4 linked regions of the Arabidopsis thaliana genome follow. The protein of the gene in region 1 interacts with the protein of each later gene in a pairwise test. Each region holds a gene or a part of one and is shown in the gene's direction. Other genes may lie near its edges.

What was found.
Region 2: the proteins of AT3G16180 (region 1) and RABA1c interact in a protein complementation assay, tested with the Arabidopsis thaliana proteins (one large-scale study listed by BioGRID).
Region 3: the proteins of AT3G16180 (region 1) and AT2G21500 interact in a protein complementation assay, tested with the Arabidopsis thaliana proteins (one large-scale study listed by BioGRID).
Region 4: the proteins of AT3G16180 (region 1) and RABH1c interact in a protein complementation assay, tested with the Arabidopsis thaliana proteins (one large-scale study listed by BioGRID).

Annotation. Positions count from the first base shown.
Region 1 is NC_003074.8:5,480,224-5,487,085, reverse strand, and holds AT3G16180 (Major facilitator superfamily protein), read left to right. Parts: upstream 1-1,898; 5' UTR 1,899-2,142; coding exon 2,143-2,245; intron 2,246-2,331; coding exon 2,332-2,549; intron 2,550-2,555; exon of another isoform or gene 2,556-4,069; intron 4,070-4,077; coding exon 4,078-4,634; intron 4,635-4,711; coding exon 4,712-5,609; 3' UTR 5,610-5,761; downstream 5,762-6,862. Other genes in the region: AT3G16175 (Thioesterase superfamily protein), read right to left, coding at 5,878-6,048, 6,181-6,321, 6,428-6,589. UniProt on the Arabidopsis thaliana protein: Low-affinity nitrate transporter involved in xylem-to-phloem transfer for redistributing nitrate into developing leaves. Not involved in dipeptides transport.
Region 2 is NC_003076.8:18,556,747-18,561,936, forward strand, and holds RABA1c (RAB GTPase homolog A1C), read left to right. Parts: upstream 1-2,313; 5' UTR 2,314-2,571; coding exon 2,572-2,792; intron 2,793-3,463; coding exon 3,464-3,893; 3' UTR 3,894-4,199; downstream 4,200-5,190. Other genes in the region: AT5G45740 (Ubiquitin domain-containing protein), read right to left, coding at 229-299, 378-497, 581-703, 1,309-1,351; AT5G45760 (Transducin/WD40 repeat-like superfamily protein), read left to right, coding at 4,375-4,482, 4,585-4,681, 4,772-4,833, 4,923-4,985, 5,071-5,130. UniProt on the Arabidopsis thaliana protein: Intracellular vesicle trafficking and protein transport.
Region 3 is NC_003071.7:9,206,158-9,212,300, reverse strand, and holds AT2G21500 (RING/U-box superfamily protein), read left to right. Parts: upstream 1-2,069; 5' UTR 2,070-2,193; intron 2,194-2,640; 5' UTR 2,641-2,725; coding exon 2,726-3,014; intron 3,015-3,274; coding exon 3,275-3,321; intron 3,322-3,406; coding exon 3,407-4,336; 3' UTR 4,337-4,869; downstream 4,870-6,143. Other genes in the region: AT2G21510 (DNAJ heat shock N-terminal domain-containing protein), read left to right, coding at 1-44, 116-281, 371-500, 592-750, 850-1,028, 1,132-1,233, 1,365-1,460; dehydrin LEA, read left to right, coding at 5,261-5,608, 5,883-6,092.
Region 4 is NC_003075.7:18,503,741-18,508,571, forward strand, and holds RABH1c (RAB GTPase homolog H1C), read left to right. Parts: upstream 1-2,178; 5' UTR 2,179-2,371; coding exon 2,372-2,488; intron 2,489-2,837; coding exon 2,838-2,908; intron 2,909-2,993; coding exon 2,994-3,082; intron 3,083-3,162; coding exon 3,163-3,277; intron 3,278-3,370; coding exon 3,371-3,461; intron 3,462-3,557; coding exon 3,558-3,719; 3' UTR 3,720-3,963; downstream 3,964-4,831. Other genes in the region: AT4G39870 (TLD-domain containing nucleolar protein), read left to right, coding at 43-130, 248-332, 449-535; AT4G39880 (Ribosomal protein L23/L15e family protein), read left to right, coding at 861-1,397; AT4G39900 (adenine deaminase), read right to left, coding at 4,829-4,831. UniProt on the Arabidopsis thaliana protein: Protein transport. Regulator of membrane traffic from the Golgi apparatus towards the endoplasmic reticulum (ER).

The DNA of each region.
Region 1 (6,862 bases):
TATGATGATCACAAATTAAAAATGAAATGACATAATGAGTAGTGTGGATTAACAAGTTTGTCAAAAAGGAGATTGCAGAGTATCCAAACACCCACGTGCAAGGCAAATGACCATGTCACTCTCATCATTATGGCTTTTTATTCACTTTTTGTTTTTAAATTATTCTAATGTTCTAAGAAATTATTTTAAGAGATTTTTTTAATAGCAGGATAATCTAATGTTGAATTCTTGATGTATTGATTAATTACGATTTTTTTTAAAAACTAAATTAGGTATTTGGTATTGAAACTGTTCATGTGGATGCATGAAAGACCACAAATAAATTTTTGGATAATGAAATTTCATTTTTGGTTCCTACTAGCGAGTCTTCTGCCATCATCAGACACCGCACTTAATTTTGTACGAACTTTTTCATTCAAATCTGGTTGCACCATTTTTAATTTTGTACTGAACATAAGTACTTTACTTATAATCTGGTTTAGGCAGAAACTTTCAAATACTTGTATCATTTAACTTGGAAACGTAATTACTTAGCGTATAATGATATATAGCCTGTAGGATATAGAATCACAAATTAGTGATAAGTATTTTGATACAGTAGTTTATATCCTCAGAATCTAACAGTATGATATTGTTTAGCAATATATAATGTTTTGTGAATAATGAATGTTAGTTTTCTTTGCATTCATTATTTGGATTAAGTCACATAAGAAAATATAATTGTTAATTTGGAATGGATAGTTTAACCGATTAGATACGAGTAACTTTATAAGATGGGGTTCGTCTTAAAGTCGACATTAGCAGGGAAAACTACTAATTTAATCTCTTGGTCGAAGTTACTATACATCGTAAAGTCCGAAACTTCTTAGATACATAGAAAATTATACAGTTAAACATATACTATTATTCATATTTTTGTTAAAACATAAACTATTATTCATGAGGTCAATTGTTACATGGGTTTGGTAAACTTTCGTATGCTATTATTTTATTATATTCTTTGGGCCGACTCTTTGAGATGTTGACTTATTAGTGTGATAAGGAGAAAGCGAATTAAAAAAAACTTTATATATGATTGCACTTACTTTAATGAATCCATTTTTTAACTTTAAACTGAAAAAAAAGAATTGAATAACAAAAAGTTTCAATTTGTCAAGAAAAGAGGAAGAGAGAGAGCCAAAACAAAAGCTGTTAACCTCATGGGATGTTTTCCATTCTCAATTATTAGTAAACTTTTGTTATGATTTTTGATCCGTTCCTTTCGATAATTGGATGTGATTTGTGGAAAGCCATTTACATGTTTAGTTACAGTATAATGATATAGTTGAAGCTCTCATAAACTTTTTAAGAGTTTAAGTCTGATTAGAAGACATCTTTAGAAGATAATACAATATTGAAATTCTTGTGATTGATTCTTCTACATTGCAAATTCACTTCCAACAACTATTTCATCAAAAAATCTATAGAATAGTTATGGTTTCGAAGTATATAACATTAACATATTTAACTAATTTGAAATGTACATAAATAATAATAAATTGGATTTATTTCAAAAATAAGTCAATAACACCAGACCATTTTATGTTTGACGTAAGTAACATGGATGATGGAACATTGGAAGTTTGATGTACAATGTACTGTTTTTTTCTTTTCTCTTCTTTTTGAAATATCTATGTAAGTTAATCTTCTCCATTTTAGATATTTTCTTCACAAAAAAACGAATATTTCTGGCATTTATGTTTCAACTTGTATTTAGCTAAGATTAGGAAAATGACGTTTTATCTAACTTTTTTTCTTTCATACTACTAACAAATCATTTCTAAGTTCTAACTAAGAATGAAAATTGTCGTGTGCCATATAGGATAAAACCTCACTCTATAAAAATCATTATGATAAATTAATTAATAAAATTAAAAAATTAAAAAACAATTTGCCTTGAGGGAAAAAGAAAATGTAGTATTTAAATAACAGCCATTTATTATTGCTCACTCGTCGCAGAAAACAGAGATTCCTCGCTGTCTGAACTGAAAAATAAGATCGCATTAACTCAAAACTCTCACAAAGACAAAGATCTTCTCCTCCTTCTCTTCTCTTTTTCACTTTTCTCTCTTCCCCTCTCTCGAAGCTTGAAAGGTAACAACAATGGAGAACCCTCCGGATCAAACAGAGTCAAAGGAGACTCTTCAACAACCCATTACAAGAAGAAGAACAAAGGGTGGTCTTCTCACTATGCCCTTCATCATTGGTAACAAACGATCTCTCTCACTTTTTTAGACAAAAACCCAAATCTTGTTACTAATTTTATCTCATCTTGTTTGTTACTCGGTGAAGCAAACGAGGGGTTCGAGAAAGTGGCGAGCTATGGATTATTACAGAACATGATTCTTTATCTGATGAGTGATTACAGATTGGGACTTGTTAAAGGACAAACTGTCTTGTTCATGTGGGTTGCTGCTACTAATTTCATGCCTCTCGTTGGAGCTTTTCTCTCAGATTCATATTTGGGTCGCTTTCTCACCATTGTCATTGCTTCTCTCTCCAGTCTCCTGGTAATTTCCGTCCCCTATTTAACCGGTTTACGCTTCTTCTTTCTCCCGGTTTACTCCGGTTCAATTTTTTAGCCACTTCTTTGACTCAACATTTTTCACCACCTAGTTAGCCTTTGGTTTGGAAATGCTTTGTTTATGTTTACTGTCAGTAAAGGTTGAGTTTTATTAAAATTGGGAATCTAAACCGAAAGTTTCGGTTTAAGTTGATTTGGGTGAAATATCGTGCTTGTATTCAGTGTTTTATTACTTGGCTTTAGACAATTGGACCTTACTTACATGCATTGATAATTGGAGTTAAATTCCGGTTTGATAGTTTTCGATAATTGGACTTGACTTTACTTGCGTCGACAACAAAAAGAGAATTCCATAAAATCTAACCAAGTCATAGAATTAAGGGCCAAGAATTAAATGGTACGAGGTTTTGTATGTAATTATTTAATTATTTTATATTCTCGAAATAGTAAAAAAAAGATTGGTATGGTAAATTTCAGGGGTTTTTACTAAAATTTTATAACTTTTTACCGTTGGTTTTGCTAAATCATTGATAGCTGTATATTTCTGCTTTAAGTACTATAATATCTAATGATAATCATCTACAGTGAAATTTCTAATTTAAGAGTTGATATGATTAAGCTTTTTAGAAGCCTTTTTCCATTAAGAGTCAAAATTTTCACATGTTGCATGTGCTTCCCTGAAATTGCTGTCCAATGAATGGAGAAACTAAACCCGCTTTGATTTGTTTTTAATATTTGTGTCCATCAAAAATATAAAAGTCGGTAAAATTAAATTCGAAGCCAGGTGTTCTGAAATGTCCATGTGAGTTTATATAATAACAGGTCTTAAATAATCATAAAGTATTTAATATCATTATTAATTCCTTAAAATCTTGTTTGTTGCTTTCCTTGTGGTTATGGTCTTGTGGGCTTTCTCTGGCAACTTGTGTGATTGTGAGTGACCACACTGCTTGCATCTCTCTATGTATAAAAAATATCATTTTGTTATTACTTTTTGTTGTATGTAGACTTAGAGTTTCATTATTTATATGTCCAAATATATGGGTCAAGCTGACGTGGACCTACATTTTGCCACCATTTAAGGATTTGACATTAGTTTTTTGGCCAACATATAAGTGTTAGACATGAAAGCAATATCGATTGGTGACCCATGTTTTTGTACTACTTGTCCCATTCTTGATCAAACTTATTATTTCACCCACTTGGAAAAAAAAACTTATCATATACATAGTGACATCAATTGATTTTGAAATCTCTACATCAATCATTCATCTCGAGTATCAATCATTTTCCGTAAGAAAATAATGTTTTCGTATGATGGATGTGACAATTGACGTACGTGTAGATTCTGATCTAATACTTGGATTCTTGTTCTTGGAAGTACTTTTTTTGGAAGACATCTACAGATTTTACGAATGAAGTGATAACTACATTTTTATTATGAAAAACAAAAACGTCAAAATCTAACCTACTACATTGTTTTAATAAATTTGTCTGAATCAAAAATGTTACAGGGGATGGTGGTTCTATGGCTAACGGCGATGTTGCCGCAAGTAAAACCATCACCGTGTGTAGCAACAGCCGGAACCAACTGCAGTTCCGCGACATCTTCTCAATTGGCTCTCTTGTATACCGCATTCGCATTAATATCGATTGGATCAGGAGGAATCAGGCCATGTTCTTTAGCCTTTGGTGCTGATCAATTGGACAACAAAGAGAATCCTAAGAACGAGAGAGTTCTTGAGAGTTTCTTTGGTTGGTACTACGCTTCTTCATCAGTTGCTGTCTTGATCGCTTTCACCGTCATTGTTTACATTCAAGATCATCTAGGATGGAAAATCGGGTTTGGAATACCCGCGATTCTCATGCTGCTCGCGGGTTTCTTGTTTGTTTTCGCGTCTCCTCTCTACGTTAAGCGCGATGTGAGCAAGAGTCTGTTCACTGGTTTAGCTCAAGTGGTTGCTGCAGCTTACGTGAAGAGAAACTTAACTTTGCCGGATCATCATGACTCCAGAGATTGTTATTACCGTTTGAAAGATTCTGAACTCAAAGCTCCAAGTGACAAATTGAGGTAAAGTGAAATCAGTTTCACATATATAGTTCTTGGTTAGTTTTTTTATTTATTGATACTTTCTTGCAATTGCTTAGGTTTTTAAACAAAGCTTGTGCCATAAGTAACCGCGATGAAGACCTTGGTTCTGATGGTTTGGCCTTAAACCAGTGGAGGCTATGCACAACGGACCAAGTTGAGAAACTCAAGGCGTTGGTCAAGGTGATACCGGTATGGTCCACGGGGATAATGATGTCGATAAACGTTAGCCAGAACTCTTTTCAGTTGCTTCAAGCTAAATCAATGGACAGACGTTTAAGCAGCAATTCGACCTTCCAAATCCCAGCTGGATCGTTTGGTATGTTCACAATCATAGCCTTAATCTCATGGGTTGTTCTGTACGACCGCGCAATTCTCCCTTTAGCTTCAAAGATCCGAGGCAGACCAGTTAGAGTCAATGTCAAGATTCGAATGGGATTAGGGCTATTCATATCATTCTTAGCAATGGCGGTTTCCGCAACTGTTGAACATTACAGAAGGAAAACCGCGATAAGCCAAGGACTCGCAAACGATGCCAACTCAACAGTGAGCATCTCAGCAATGTGGCTTGTACCACAGTATGTACTACACGGTTTAGCAGAGGCCTTGACCGGGATAGGACAGACCGAGTTTTTCTATACCGAGTTTCCTAAAAGCATGTCGAGTATCGCAGCTTCGTTGTTCGGTCTAGGAATGGCAGTGGCTAATATCTTGGCTAGTGTGATCCTAAATGCGGTAAAGAATAGCTCAAAGCAGGGCAATGTGAGCTGGATTGAAGATAACATCAACAAGGGTCACTATGACTATTACTATTGGGTTTTAGCGATCTTGAGCTTCGTTAATGTCATCTACTACGTTGTGTGTAGCTGGTCCTATGGTCCTACGGTGGATCAGGTGAGGAATGATAAGGTTAATGGTATGAGAAAAGAAGAAGAGGAAGTTATTAAATTAAACTAAGACCAATTGGTTGATCATAATTAAATGGTGTACGTGTGTTATAAAATTCTATATATTTGTATGTAATTAGATTATTATATCATGGATTTGGATTTTCTTAGGATGTAGAGGTTGATGTTAATTAATGGGTCGTGTGTTTATTTAATTATTACAAAAAAAAAAAAAACATTGTGTGTATGATATTTGATTGAAGAGAATCAAATTTTCAAAATGGTGATTTGTGGTGTTTTTGACTTTGGGAAATTGAATCACTTAAATTAAGAAAAAATCAAAGCTTACTAAGAGTAGAAACATTTTGTATGGCTTTGACGCTAAGTGGAGCCATCCACAATCTTCCTGTGGCTATAATTTCTCCACTTGTTTCTCTTCTAATCTCAATCACAGCTGATTTTAATCCTCCATTGCTTCCATTCACTCTTGCTTCTATCTCTACCGTTTCCTGCAATTTTGTAGTTTTTTCTTATCATTATTACTTCTAATCATTACTAATAATAGTAATTTACCTAATTTAGTAGTTTGCATGTTTCATAACAAAAAAAACGAGAGAAAAATGAGGATAGGGAAAGCGAACGTGAATCTTGGCCGTTGAATAAAACGAAGAGTTGAGATCAACAGAGATATGGAGTCCGCCGCCGGAGGAGTACACAGCTGACGCTCCGATCGAGTCCATCACCGCCGTAATCACTCCCGCATTCCAACTTCCATCTTCTCCCTGAGAATCATCTTTCGCATTGTTTAGTAATAATAACGTTCACCAATCAAAAACACAAAAAAGGAAGCTTAAAACTAGATTCGTTGGATTAAGTAAATTTTATTACCACGACATGATCTGTGACAAGTAATTTACAACGTAAGATCCCTTTCCCGACATGGATGAGTTCTAAGCCTTTCAAGATTAAAATCTCGAACTCGGTTTGCCCGTTTCCTTTTGCTATCTCTTCGAGATACGTCGTCGTGTTATGGATCGTTGGATCTACCATACTGTCCCTTCTTCTTCGTCTTTTTACGTTCTCGTTACAAAACAAACTTGCGTGTGGGAATATATGGTTATCGGATCATCATAGTTAATTACCATTATACCCTTTTGGAATGATTACTGATTTAGCATCAAAGAGTCAAAGACTATGGTCAACTTTCCTTCTTTCACACTATACAATTTTGTTGTTCTTCACACTAAACAAAGAAATAGTATATAACAAAGATTTACTTCTCAAATAGTTAATTTGGTATTGATTCTTGACATTATTGAGTCA
Region 2 (5,190 bases), on another chromosome or scaffold:
CATAAGATCATTTTGACCACAAAAGTTCACAACTCTTGGCTCTGTACATTTGTACCTCAACCACCATCTCTCACTTTAGATTCCAGTAACTATACAGAGAGTGTCTCCTACTAATATACCGTGTTTCTATTCACTATCAATTGCAAAAAGTATTGAATATGAGAGACTTACTTCAACTTCTAGTCCTCTTCTACTACTTACTAAGTATTGTGTCAATGTTCTTGGAAGTTACTGTCCTTCCTCTCGAATCAGATTCGTGGGCTCACTTAGAACGTACCTAGGAAGCTCATATCTAGCACCTGCATTGAATAAGAGCAAGTCATTAAGGTAACAAAACAAGAAACGAGAGAAACGAATCAGAATTGTGTATTACAAACCTCTTTCATCCCAGCACAATGTTAGGTCACGGTTCTGAACAATCACGCCTGCACTGTCAACAATAGTTTGTGCTAGTTTCAAGTCAGCTTCAGCAGCAGCTCGAAGTGCTTCCCATATCTCTGGTTTTCAGTAAATTTCGCTCAGTTTCCAAATGTACATAGTGCGATGCAGCAGATTACAAGAAAGAGAGATATATATATACCTCTTTGACCACCATAGTGTGGAGAGGTGTCCCAAAATTCCTCACGCATGTTCGTAAGTTGTGCCCTTGTGATTGGCTCAGTATGTGCCCACGGTTTAGGTTTCATGATTTTCTTCCTTTTTGCTGTGTCAAACGTACAAAACTCATAAGAGAATGATACAATATAAACTACCACCAATTTTAAAACAGTTCTTTCAGTAACACCAATATTATAGCCATCTACTTCAGAAGATCATCACAGTTTCAATTTCATCAAGACAACAAATACAGTATAAGGCAGAACGAATCAGATTATATTGTCTATTGTTCACAGAACAATTTTTCTTGGTAAAAATGGAATGTTATAACATTAGTAAACGGCCATTTCATTTCAATCATACCATCGATAACAACTTTCTCTGATCCAACATTCTAATTCTGAGCAGTAGAAACAATGTTGAAGAGCATTCTAATTCTCTGCTGAACTAATTCTGAGCTTCAAAATTTGGAATCTTTAACGAATCACAAACATGTCAACACCACAATAAACTGATATTTCCTTCGAAATCACTCCAAGAATCATAACATTTGCAAGATTAGTTCATGTTAACACCTCAAAACTAGAACTATCACCAAGAATCAAAACATTACAACACAAGTATAAATCGTAGCCCAAATTCTGAGAACAAATTCAGCGAGACAAACGGAGTGCGGAATTAAAGGTTTAAGAGAGTATCGATTCCACTAACCTCCGCCTTCATTTCTGGCCTGAGAAGATCCGATACAACCCATTCTCGAACCGTTGAGAGTCGCGTTTGATTAGGTGAAAATTGGAAGTCGCTTCGAACAAGTAAAGTAAATGCCAGTACAAACTCGACCGTCGGGAACGAAACGGAGAAAGATAGCCGCCGATAAGAGTTTCACGGCGGGAGAATCGCCGGAGAAGTCTGCAAGAGTCGTCTTCAAGGTCAAATTCTGTTTTGACTGCCAAATTAGGCCATGAATGTTTTGTTGATTTTGGTGGGTTTTTGGATTTTGGATTGTGGCTTTTGGTTTTTTGTTTTTGATTTTATGAGTTTTTGATTTTGGTGGAGATTTTAGATTTTGCAAAATCTTAAATGGTAACTTTTCTAGTTTTTGATTTTTATATAATTATTATTTAGAAACGTTTTAAAATTATTTATTTAAAACTTTATTTTTATTTTTAAAAACAAAAAAAAAAGAGTTTACGATAGAATTTGTTGAAAATCCCAAAAAAGTGAATTTTGGATTTTAAGAACAAATGACTAGAATCTTTTAAATTTTGAATTCCCTATAATTTAGGAAATTAACTTTTTACAAAATCATGAATGGATGAAAAAGTGGATTTTGTAAAATCAAAAGCCAAAATCAACTTTAAAAACTAGTACCATTCAAGGCCTTAGTTTGTTAGAGAGAAGAAAGTGAAAACAGATCTCCCCGATTTTATTTATAGTCACTTTACTTGCCACGTCATATTATTCTGGATTAGTATATTATATCTGTTTGAATTAATCGTCAGCGTCTGTAGTCCAACGGTTAGGATAATTGCCTTCCAAGCAATAGACCCGGGTTCGACTCCCGGCAGACGCATTCTTTTTTATCATTTTAATCAGTTTAGAAAAACATAAAAGATAAAGACAAATGTGAATTGACGAATACGTCCTCGTCTTTATCGAAGCGAGCAAGGTAATAGATCAGAACGCGTTAACAGGGCAGTTTAGTAAATTTGGCCACACAAATGTTAGATTTCTTTGTGATAAAGACAGTACACAAGTCCTTTGTCTTTCTCGTTTGATATTTTCCAATTCCGCGTCTTTCTCTGTTGAAATCGAAAAAATTTTCAAAACAAAATCTAAGGAAAAAAGAGCAACAAGTTTCAAATCTCATTTGGGTTTTTCATTTTGAAAAGAAGGACCCATTTTTATCTCTCTCTTTGTTTTGTTTTCTCGAATCTGAAGGAGTAAAGTTAAAAGCTTTGAAGGAGAGAATCAATGGCGGGTTACAGAGCAGATGATGAATACGATTACCTATTCAAGGTTGTTCTGATAGGTGATTCAGGTGTGGGCAAATCCAATTTGCTTTCACGATTCACGAAGAACGAGTTTAGTCTCGAGTCAAAATCCACGATCGGGGTCGAGTTCGCGACTCGGAGTTTGAATGTTGATGATAAAGTCATCAAAGCTCAGATTTGGGATACTGCTGGTCAAGAAAGGTCTCATCTTTTTCAACCACATTGTTCATTTCTCGATCTGGTTTCTTATATTAGAACATTTTGATTGAAGTTTTGGGGTTTATGGTTTTGTTTGGTTGCCAAAGACAGTAAATTTTCAGCTTAGGTTAGATCTGTATCAATTGATTTAGATCCATTGGTATTGATCACTTTTATAAGAAGAGATCTGGATTAGTATGTGATTTTGACAACTTGGGTTTTGTGTAAGATAGGAGAATCCTATGATTATGATTATAAAGTTATCAGCTTTATCAAATTTCTTCTGTTGTTTTTGCTATTTTAGGTTTATGTGAGAGAGCTTGATTGGTTTCAGTAACTTCATTTCTACGATTCTTAGCTCTTCTTTCTCAGATTTCACCTAAGATTCTTCAATCATTATCGATTTCTTCTGTTGTTTTTGCTTAGTTTATTTATGTAAGAGAGCTTGATTGGTTTTAGTTGGATTCTTAAACTTTCATTTGAAGCTTTTACTTGGTCTTAATTTCAAAATTGAAAAGCTTCTTGCTTTGTATGATTTGCTATTCTCCATTTCTCTGATCAGTTTTGTAAAGCGTGCATAGTCTGAATTCGAAACTGTAAAGCTTCTTGCCTTTTTTGTGTTCCTGATGTTTCGGTTAACTTAATTCTCTGTTTCGTTGACTTTGTTTCAATAGGTACCGAGCCATCACTAGTGCGTATTACCGAGGAGCTGTTGGAGCGCTTCTTGTCTACGATGTAACCCGACACTCAACATTTGAAAACGTTGAGACTTGGCTGAAAGAACTCAGAAACCACACTGATCCAAACATTGTAGTCATGCTCGTGGGCAACAAATCTGACCTTCGCCATCTCGTGGCTGTTCAGACTGAAGATGCTAAGTCATTCGCCGAGAAAGAATCTCTCTACTTCATGGAAACCTCGGCTCTCGAAGCCACCAATGTTGAGAACGCTTTCGCCGAAGTCCTCACTCAGATTCACCACATTGTGAGCAAGAAGGCGATGGAAGCTGCGAGCGAATCCGCTAATGTTCCATCGAAAGGAGACAAGATCGATATCGGTAAAGATGTTTCAGCTGTGAAGAAAGGTGGATGCTGCTCGAACTAATCAGAGAGTAGAATTATTGTTAACAACCTAAGGATCGGTTTTTGTTAACGGTTCTATCGAATATGAAGATTGCTTTTAGGTTGAGTAATGCCCATTTGGTGTATTTCTGTTATTTATCTGATCTATCAATGTTATTGTTTGAAAATGCTATGTCAAATTTTCAGAACCCTAAATTATATTTATCTCAAACAATAGAATTGTTGAAAAGAAAAGATAAAAATAGTTTCTGCCTTTGATGATTTCAGTTTGGTTGAACATAATTTTCGGTTTGATTTCGTTTCACCGTATCGGTTCATTTTGGTTAAGTGGTACTAAAATCGATTTCTGTTAGGTTGGAATTTTGTTGTTTCGATTTTTTTGGTACAAAACCGAAGGATTACCAAAATATCCGGTTTAGTTTTGGTTTGTTTCGGTTAGCCTTTTTTAGCTCAATTTAGAGCTTGAAACTGAGCAATCGCCGGAGAAACTCTCACTCACAGTTATGGCTACGGCAATGGAAGAGCCAAGGAAGCTGAGAGGCCACAAATCAACTGCCACTTGTTGTATAGCTTCTCGTGACCGGCCTGGAATTGTTCTCACTTCCGGCGAGGTTTCTTAATCTCTAATTCAAACCTCTTTTTTCCGATGAATTTAGGTTTCGTTATTGTAGTTACTTCGCAAGATTCATAGTTTTCCGATCATACGATTATAGGATGGTTGCATTTGCTGGTTTGATTTGCGATGTAAAGATGTTCAATTCATCATCGATGTTGGAACAGAACCAGTTTCATCTCTTTGTTTCAAGACAGGTTTTGTCTCTTTGTGTTTTGTCTGTTTCTCTCTCTTTCAATTTCTTCTCTTTGTTGCAATTTGGTGATAACTTTTATTTGATTTTTCAGGTAATGAGAACATTCTCTATGCTTCTTGTGGAAACGAAATCAAGTCTTTCGATGTTCATACGGTAATTTAAAATGTTCAAACTTTGATTAACTAACTATAACCATATCCTTCACTTAGTTTTAAAGCTTCTCTCTTTATGCAATTTCATAGCTAAGTGCTACTTCTTGGAAGCCATTAGAGAGTTACAATTACAACAAAGATGAAGTTAACCAGGTAGAGATACTAAAAACTCGACTTTTCGAAAAAGTTATCATATTTACCTATGACATTGATGTTGACATCTTTTGATTTGTTAAAGGTAGTATGTAACGGAAGGTCGTCTTTTCTTGCTTCTGCAGATGATTCCGGCGATGTTAAGGTACACTCAATAGTTGTTCTTAATACTTAAAACTCTTAAAGATTACATAAACATGAATTT
Region 3 (6,143 bases), on another chromosome or scaffold:
AAGCGAGCAGCTTATGACAAATATGGCAAAGAAGGGGTCCAACAGTATGTTTTGTCCTCTCTGTTTACAACTTTGCATCTCCAACTTCGGTTTGTGATTGATTTTTCATTTGCAGGGATGCAATGGTTGATCCTGCAGCTGTATTTGGTATGCTTTTCGGAAGCGAAGTCTTTGAAGAATACGTTGGCCAGCTTGCACTTGCTTATTTGGCATCTATCGAAGCTGACTTAGAATCACATGACCCTGAAATCAGAAAGCAAATGCTTCAAGACAAGATCAAAGTACATTGTTTATTTATCGTTCTATTTTAACACATGTCGATGTTTTTTAGCTACTTTTCTCCATATATTAACGTGGGATTTGTGTGCAGGCTCTTCAAAAGGAGAGGGAAGACAAGCTCGCCGCTACATTGAAAAACAAACTTGAACCCTTTGTGGAAAGACAAACAGATGAATTTATCGAATGGGCAAACGAAGAGGCAAAGCGGCTTTCTTCTGCCGGTAAGTTTTGCATTTAAGCTATAGAGGAAAGTCTTTCAATGTATATATATAAACTAGAAAGATTTACATCTTCTTGCTCTGGATGTTTAAGGTTTTGGCGAGGCAATGATGCATACTATTGGTTACATTTACACAAGAAAAGCTGCTAAAGAAATCGGGAAAGACAAGCGATATATGAAAGTACCATTCTTAGCTGAATGGGTGCGTGACAAAGGCCACCATATGAAATCTCAAGTGATGGCTGCTTCTGGTATGAAACAAAGCTAAATATAAACCAAAATGTTTTGGTTTTCTAACTTAAACAAAATCCTTACTAATTGCTTTGGATGATTTTGTTTTGGATCTGTAGGTGCGGTTTCGTTACTTCAGTTGCAGGATGAAGTAAACAAGTTGAATGAACACCAAGGAGAGAACAAAGAGGAACATATTCAGAAAGCTATTGAAGCTAAAATGGATGCTTTGCTTCAATCTCTTTGGCAAATCAATGTTCTCGACATCGAATCCACGCTATCTCGTGTTTGCCAATCTGTAAGATACTATGCTTCATCATACATTATATGACCATTTCTTTTGTAGCAACAATCGACGAATTAATCTTGTTGTTAATTATATATGTATCTTTCTCTCACAGGTGCTTAAAGATCCAAGTGTTTCGAAGGATGTTCTTCGAGCTCGTGCCATAGGACTGAAGAAACTTGGAACGATCTTCCAGGTGAGCAAGAAGAACAAAAGGGTTCGTATCATAACATAAAAGAAACACTCATTGTGTTTAGATTTAAGATGTCGAGAGCCAAAAAAAAAACTTTTTGAAAAAAACATGTAACTCAAAACCTTAGTGAATTTCTCTGTTCTTTTTCTTTGAAGGGTGCTAAGAAGCCGTACACGAGAGGAAGCAGCTTGCGTCGGGAAGCCACCACCGTGAAAATGGACACCGGAGGTTCTTCAAAGGCGACGTCTTGAAACTCCGGAACTTAAAATGCTGTTTCTTTTATTGGTTGAAGTTGGATTTGTCCTTCGTTTTTTACTTTCCCCAGTTTTGTAGAGATTGCTTTCTATGTTAACTTTTTTTTCGTGTAGATGTTACATTTAAGGTGGTGCATTACTGCATTCTCATTAAAATCTTTTCGTCACATTATTCAAATTTCTTATACATTCAGAGCTAGTGATGAAATGATCTAAGGAACAAAATTTACAATTTACTTTCGGTAAAGAAAAAATAATAGTGAATAGTAATATTGTATGTATTTGGGCGTGTTTGAATCGCGTTTTTATTCCCTTTCCATCTTTCCGCGTTGTGATCGTTTTAACATGACGTGCCATCGTTAGCCTAATTCCGCTAAAACTAACGACAACAGACCAAAACAAGTTAAAATGCAGTGTTTGGTTCTATTAAACCGAATACTAATCAAACCGGTCTGCTGACACTCGACATTTCATTTGGTACGGTTTATGGGTCCTCAACCTAAACCACACGCCAATCGGAACGGTTTATGGGTCTTTAACCGGTACAAGCCAATGGGAGTCTAACGGCGTTAAACAAAACCGGTCAGAGAAGACTTTTATTCGTCTCTTTCCTTCACAAGGAAAAAAAAAGAGAGAGAGAACGAAGCAAAAAACCTCGCTCGCTAGCTATGTGAAGAAACTATCTTCGTTATAAAACTTTCCGGCGACGTTTTCCGACTTCCGAGAGCAGGTTCGGTGTTCATCACTTGTCCTCTCACATGCTTAATTCTTTTCGATTTTGTTATTTAGTTTTTTTTTTAGTTTCTATTTTGGGTAATCTCGACTTGGTTTGCAAGTCCCTTGGCCATAATATCGGATCTGTTTAATGTTAGTTATGTAGATATTGCCCGATTCAATTTCTATTTTTAGTGCCTTTGAGAAGATTTTTCATTTTGGATTTTCTTAGTGAAGAATAGTCATCACAGTTCACTCACCTACATGTTAGTCAGCAATGGATTACTGGATTTGATTCTCTCTTTATTTTCATTCTACTTTGAACTTCATTTATCTTGGCCATGGCCAGTTTAAGTTATTGTGTAGATTAATGGTAAGCTCTTTTTTTTAGTGTTATTGTTGAGGTTATAGTCATAATTGATTCTGATTGAGTTCTTAAAATTGTGTTTTTTTTTGTTGGAAGGTTTTGAGGTGGTTTTATGCGCCAAAACATCTAACCGGAGTGTCGTTGTACGGTGCTTAGTAGTTTTCAATAACACGCTTCAGTTATGGGGAATGCTTGTTGTGTTGCTACTCGAGACAAAATGGTTGTGCCTAATACATCAGCAGTCGAGAATTTTCAAAGAAACAATGTGAGGTATTCTCCTAACTGGAGCTTCCGATGGGATAATAGAGGAGGACGCGTGGCAGGGGAAGAGACCTCTGTTAGTTTGTTATCTGATCGGATTAGTCGTAACGATGTCTCTGATGTCAAATCTGAAACTGCTCTTGTATCATCACAAGGTTCTCCTTTGGACAATTTTCAGACGCAGTCATGGCAGAAATCTCCTGCTTCTGGTAAATTCCTTTATTGCTGCTTACAGGCAATACCTCTTTGATTTGTCAAAAAATGTAGACTTGATGGGAAAATGTAGGCACCTTCTTTTTGACCAACCCGCTTAGAATTTAGGATTACTTTTCTACAGAGACTGTTAATGAGTGAAAATGACATTGATATGTTTGTTGACATAAACTGTTCTCTTGTTTGTTTCTTGACTTGCTTTTATTGTTAAACTATGACTTTTCCATGTTGTGATATCACGTTATTGTTGTGGCAGATCAATCATTTTCAAGAATTGCCTCTATTGACTCTGTCTCTGAACAGGTAAATACTTAAAAGCTTTGTTTCACTGCTAGCTATATATTTGTTATGTATCTCTGTTAATATGACTCCTATGTTACTGTTTTAGATCACCCAAAAAACAAATGATTCAACCGACCCTACTTATTATCCATCTCCTGCAAAACTGTCTCTTTCATTGGCTTCTCAACCATCATCCTTCTCAGTGTCACCACTGTCAAGTCAGTCCCACTTGCCAATGCCACCTGCAAGTTCATCCCAATTAAAGCTGACACCGCCCCCTCGTCTATCAAAGCAAGTCTCATATGGTCAAATCTTTGGATTCACCTCACCGAGCAGAAGCTCAGCAACTGAAGAGAGGCTGGGGAATGAATCTCAGTCTGATGGTTGGTCCATGCAAGCTTTTTCTGAAATGATGGCGTATTCTCGCAGAGAGTCTTGCTCTTACGATAACGAGTGCTTTGGGCTTCGTCGTGACAAGATAGACAATCTTGGAAGTAGAAAGTCCAATGATCAGCAAAACTGTGGTGCTTGCTCGAGATCCTTGTCTGAGAAATCTTTGTTGAGTAGCCAAAAAATCTTTGCCACTAACGAGCTCTCCGTAGCTGCGATTCTAGCATGTGGGCACGTCTATCATTCAGAGTGTTTAGAGCAGATGACACCTGAAATCGACAAATTCGATCCTTCTTGTCCCATCTGCACACTGGGTGAGAAGAAAACATTCAAACTGTCGGAAAAAGCATTAAAGGCAGATTTGGAAATGAAAGCTAGACACAACAAGAGACTAAGAAACCGCGTTGTGGACAGCGATGAATTTGTCAAGTTTAATAACAACCACGAAGCGGCAGTAGGATACAAAGGTAAAACCCCAAAGCTGATATCAAGTTCAAGCTTGAGAAGCTATTCCCCAAAGCCTTTCCTTGCTAGACACTTCTCTTTCGGGTCCAGAAGTAATAGTGTTAAATCCCCAAAAGAGATTCATTCCCCGAGCTCTCTTAGAAAGAAAGGCTTCTTTTGGACCAAATCTAGCAAAATTTGAAACTGTAAGCTCCTCTCTCTCTCATGAATCTGAACTCAAAATAACGAGTCACTCTATAATTGTTGAATCATGTTTCAGAATCTGGATGCTGTGTCTCTTCTTAGTTCGTAAGCTAGGGCCGAAGTCAACGTAACGTTTTACTTATCAAAGGTACACACTTGTTTGTGTATGTATTACAGAAAAGTTTCTCACTAGTCTCCCATTATTTTTTTGTTTGTGCATTCCCAATTACACTTGTAAATATATAATTATAACAATATAAGGTAAAAATGATCTGGCTGTGCACCAGTAGGTGTGAATTGGGTTAATCAGATCGAGGGATTTATATTTATATGTTTTGGTTTATTTGGTGTGGGATCGTATTATACGATTTTTATATACTTCTACAAACCATTTCTAAACAAATGTTTCAGTTCAAAACCAATCTAAACAGATTTGTATTATGATCCAACGTTAACTTCCATGGTTCGTTTGTTTAGTGCTTTATGAAATTAGTTACCAACACAAACTTGCACTTACCAATCAGAATACGTCAAGAATTTAAAACTCGGAACACCGACCTTCTTTAGCGGTTCTAAGCCCTGATCAAATCCACATGTGTCCATGGAACATAGAAAGCACCGTACTTAAAAGATAACGTTATCTACCGAATCTATCAAAAAAGGCAAAACGTTATTACTATGTCGGATTCGTGACGTACACATTTCAAAGTACACACATGACACATGGAACTCTAATTCTATCCGTGCGTGGCAAACATTTCACATTAAATACGCCACGTATCATATCCATGCAGATTAACATGTCTAATATATATGCATGCCTACTTGAATCAATCCCAAACCAAGTTTTCTTCAAAGCTGTATTTGAAAGGGTATATATCTCACACACAAAACAGATCAGAAGCTAAAAGGTAATAATATAATGGCGGATTTGAGGGACGAAAAAGGTAATCCGATCCATCTAACTGACACACAGGGAAACCCAATTGTCGACCTGACTGATGAGCACGGTAACCCCATGTACCTAACCGGTGTTGTTAGCTCCACTCCTCAGCATAAGGAGAGTACTACCAGCGACATTGCAGAGCACCCTACTAGCACCGTTGGAGAAACACATCCGGCAGCTGCTCCAGCTGGTGCTGGTGCTGCCACCGCTGCCACTGCGACAGGAGTCTCTGCTGGTACTGGAGCAACCACCACAGGGCAGCAACACCATGGGTCGCTTGAAGAGCATCTTCGTCGGTCTGGAAGTTCATCTAGCTCTAGCTCGGTGAGATTCTTTTCTTTTCAAATAAAAAACTAGATATAAGTTGTAGTAGTTAACACTTTCCCGCACTCTCATATTTACAACTATATAGATACAATGAAAATGAAATTTCATATTTGTTGTTGATACTCTAAAAACAAATTATCGCAAGGTATCAAACTTGAAAGAAAAAAAAGAAATCCAAAACCAGTCATATGATAGGCGCCTTTTCTATAAAACCGTTTTATGTATTTGGATTGATCTTTTAACGATATATATGCATATGATGTTGAAATAGGAGGATGATGGGCAAGGAGGGAGGAGGAAGAAGAGCATAAAGGAGAAAATTAAAGAGAAGTTCGGTAGCGGCAAACACAAGGACGAACAAACACCAGCGACCGCCACAACAACAGGACCTGCCACTACCGACCAACCTCACGAGAAGAAGGGCATTCTCGAGAAGATCAAGGACAAGCTTCCAGGCCACCATAACCACAACCACCCATGAACACCAATCATATGACGTCTTTGTTACATGAATAAATCGTTTGCACGAATT
Region 4 (4,831 bases), on another chromosome or scaffold:
TGTTGGGAGTTGTTTCATTATTCACCTGTAATTATGGATCAGGCGCAAATCGGTTCTACACTTTATGCTCCAAGGAATTCCTAGCTCTGGGCGGTGGTGGACGGTTTGCTCTCTATCTAGACAGTGAGCTGTAAGATTTCCTTACCAAATCTCTTAAAATCATATTTGCATTTTTATTATATTGCAAGATTGCGACAGACAACAAGGCATTTTTCCTCAAATCGATTGATCCATTGTGTTCTTATAGGCTAAGCGGATCGAGCGCTTACTCAGAGACGTATGGGAACTCTTGTCTCGCAGACTCTCAGGACTTTGATGTTAAGGAAGTGGAGGTAGTTAAATTTCATCCCTCTCCTTGAAAAATAAAAGCTTTATATTTCAATATTTTGCAACACCTTTTAACTGAAACAAGCAAACAAACACACCATTGGTTGATTGATTGTTGCAGCTATGGGGATTTGTGTATGGCTCAAAGTATGATGAGATTCTAGCTCACAGCAAAACAATGGAGCCTGGTCTTTGCAGATGGTCATGATCATTATAAAGAAAACCCAAATGAATTCAACTGAGATTCGTCTTTTTGTTGTTGTTGTTGTTGTTGTTGTATAAATCTGTAGTAAAAGAAATCTTGTTGTCTTGTAACTTGGCTAAAATCACATATATGTTACTCTCTCTCACTTGTAATGATGATTTTGAAATAACAAAATAAAACCACCTATTAGGCTCATTCGGCCCATTAAGGCCCATTAAAGCATATGTGTGTGTGAAGAGGGATTAATTTTAGTGGGGAAGAATCAAAGAAGAAAAACCCTTGCTACTGCTTTTCATTTCTGACCTAAAAGCTCAGCTCCGATTTGAAAATGGGGAGTAGATTGGGAGGACGAGTGGTTCATTTCGCGAATCTTCCGATTAAGCTTCTGATGCCTGCGAAGCTGACCAACATTCACGAATTCGCGTTGAAAACGATTCCTTCCGCGTCCAAGATCGAGATCAAGCGAGTCCTGGAGTCGCTCTACGGATTCGATGTGGAGAAGGTGAATACTTTAAACATGGATGGGAAGAAGAAGAAGCGTGGTGGTTTGTTGATAGCGAAAGCTGATTACAAGAAGGCTTACGTCACGCTACGTAGTCCATTGTCGATTTCTAGGGATTTGTTTCCGGTGAAGTATATCGAGGAAGATAGGAAGAGTAAAGTGAAAGGATCTAGCTTTGTTGAGGAAGAAGATGATAAGAAGAGTCATTGGCTTGATCGTAAGGAGAAGAGGGAGATTGGTGGTTATGGTAAAGGTAAAGGTCGTCGAGGTGGTGAAAGGGCTAACTCTCCGACGAGAGGTGGTGCTGCGGCGGCGGGGACGGCCAAGTTTCCATGGAGCAACATGAGATTTGTTGGTAAGTAGGGTTTATGAGCAGATTATGATCTGGGGTTTGTGTTTCTTTAGCTATCGGATTATTGATTTTGTTGTTTCTATTACTTGAGGTTTGTGTATTGAGAATCTGAATCATTGAAGCTCTCAGTGTTTCTGAGATTTGGCTAATAAATCTGAATCAAGATGTTTCCAATTGTTTGTAATCTTTCTCTTAGTGATCTCTGATTAGCTATATGATATTTGCTGCTCCCGAGTTCTAAAGCTTTTTTTCTTAATTGCAATCTATAAGAATGCTTAAGGGGATTAACTCTGGTGATGGTGCTTTGTTTGTCTGTTCAAGTTTTGAGAAACCTCTTATTAGTCTTATTGTTTGTGGATTTGGGGCTTATGTTCAAATGTTCGATCACATTACGCAGATGCAAAACGTATGATAAAATTGTGACAAATCACTACATTAGCCAATAAATATAGTCATCTCTGATCATCCCAAAAATCTCATCACTTTGTGGACTAGTAGCTTGGTGTTTACTAAATAATTGTTAAAATAATTGTTAGTTCAGATTTTGGTATTCATTACAGATTACAACTAGGCTACTACTCACCTAGTATCTTCACAAACTAACAAAAATTTGTTTGGCTTAAAGGTCTTTTTTTGGTTTAGGTTTTAATTAATCAAATAACGATTTAAAAGATTAATGAAGAAGACTTTGATCATAGAAATTTTAGAAAACATTCATCATTAAAAAATATTATTTTTTTTAAACACAGATACACCCAACCGCATCGACGCGCTTCTTATATAAAGTCTCCGCGGAAATCGTTGAATATATTTGGGCGCGTGGCGATTTTGTGAAGGTTGTCAAGTTTGTGTGCGACCGAGTCATCGTCGTCGTGCTCTCCTTCTTCTTCATCGTCGAGACCTAAGAAAGACGAGACTCTGATTCTTCTGATCTTTGAATCACACTTTTTCTTTTTTTCCTTCTTCTTCCAACGGAACGGAACATATGGCTTCGGTTTCACCTTTGGCAAAGTTTAAACTGGTGTTCTTAGGAGACCAATCTGTCGGAAAAACCAGCATCATCACTCGTTTCATGTATGACAAATTCGACACCACGTACCAGGTATTTACACAGATTCCTTTCACTTGTTTTGTTTATTCATTTAAATTCTTCTCTGCGACAACAAGTTTCTTTTGTTTTCGTTTTTTTATTGTTTGATCTGATTCATTATTTCCTATATTACGATTGTTCAGACGATTTCATCTCATATTGGTCCTAGATTACGTCGCTGATATCACTCTGGTTTTTCTTCAATGCATTTGTTTGATCACTCTGCTCTCTGTTTTTTTGGTTGATTTATCAATCTCTTCTTCTTATTATGATCAAGATCGATGATGCTAAGCACTGTTGCTTCTTTGCTTTCTTAGTTAGTCATTAAGCCTTTATTTGTGTTCTCTCTGACTCTCTGCAGCCTACCATTGGAATCGATTTTCTATCGAAAACAATGTACCTCGAAGATCGAACAGTTCGTTTGCAGCTATGGTGAGAACAATGTTACTTTTGCTCTTTACCTAAAAACTAACATGTTAATTTCAAAAGCAATAACAAAACAAGTTTTGATTGAAAGGGATACTGCTGGACAAGAAAGATTCAGGAGTCTAATCCCAAGTTACATCAGAGATTCTTCTGTTGCCATTGTTGTATACGATGTATCCAGTAAGTCCACCTTTGTTTCTCTCTTTGATTCACCTTCTTTTTTGTGTTCTTATGTGTTCAATCAATACTTTGTGTTGCAGATAGGCAAACGTTTCTGAATACCTCGAAATGGATTGAGGATGTTCACAGAGAAAGAGGTCAAAGCAATGTTATCATCGTTCTTGTTGGAAACAAAACTGATCTTGTTGAAAAACGGTAAATACAAACATTAAGCAAAGAATTGGATGGGATGGACTATATAATTCTCTCTTGTCTTATATATGTCAATCTTGATATAATGAAAAACAGGCAAGTATCAATCAGTGAAGGAGAAGACAAGGGTAAAGAGTATGGAGTGATGTTCATTGAGACCAGTGCCAAAGAAAACTTCAACATTAAGGTATGACAAAACTTCAACAAAGAGTATGGAGTGATGTTCATTTGAGTGTTTCTTGTTGTCTGATTTCTAAACACACCAAATCTCTTCAATTTGCAGGCTTTGTTCCGGAAGATTGCTGCAGCTTTACCCGGGGTAGACTCATATTCATTGGCAACAAAATCAGATGACATGGTTGATGTGAATCTAAAGACCACTTCAAATTCATCACAAGGTGAGCAACAAGGAGGAGCAGGTGGTGGTGGAGGCTGTTCTTGTTGATTCAAAAATACATAATTCCAAAACTTGTGAAGCAAACAAAAGGGATCACGTTAGTTTTGTGGTTTTCATCTTATTAACTGACACAGAATATAAAACATCAAAGAGAAAAGGATTACTATTTTTACACATGTGAATCTTTTGCCTTGTTCTGTATTTGATCTGTTTTAGACATTGACGGTAGCAGAATACAAAACCTTATTCTGATCACCACCAAATGAACCAAAGGGAGAAGGATCAACTGTGGTGACAGCTTCCTTCCACTCAATTGTACCCCAAATCTCACCTTTCGAACGAAATCTCGGCACACCAAACATCCAATCTCTCATCATCATCATTACGCTCAAGCCAGAAGAGAACAATGTTCACACCAAAACTGTTCACTTGACTGATATTCTTAGAGCCTCCAAACCTTTAACTATCTTCCATTCTGATTCCTCAGACTCTTGCCAAAACACTCACCGGAAGCTCATATCGGTACCGTATAACAACAATTCCTCAACTACACAATAACTCAAAAGATGTGGCCTATTCGTTCTTCCCCATTTACCATCACTGGGAGAGTAATAAACACTTCCTTCAAACCATTTCACTCCGTAAACCTTGTCTTCCTTAACAAGGCTTCCATTGGCGTTTGTTTTGGCCACTACGATTATCGGCGGGAAGGTTTTGTTGTTTCTTCTCTTCTTGGAAAACGAAAAACGTTATCCTTTATTTGTTCTTCTCTTGTTTTACTTTTTTATTGAGCCTTCAAACATTCGTTAGTGTTATCAACTCAATGAAACTTGTAACACAACAAGTTGATTAGTGAATTAGTTTGTGCTTACTCATCTCAGACATTAACATATAATACTTGTTAAATACTTTTGAAGATTCGTATTATCTTTGTATATATTTGTATACTAAAGAGAATAGTAACGATAATCACGATGCTAAGCACTCTTGATTCTACTTTTTTAACCTCTTGTTTGGTTACACGTTAATTAGGCATTTGCAAGAGCAAGTGTTATTTTATCAACATTTTGAAACTTGGAACAAAAGACAAGTTTGGGGAAGAGATTCTAAACAGCGAGACAACGAAGGAGAGAAAAGGCCAAAAGAGATGCTACAGTTTA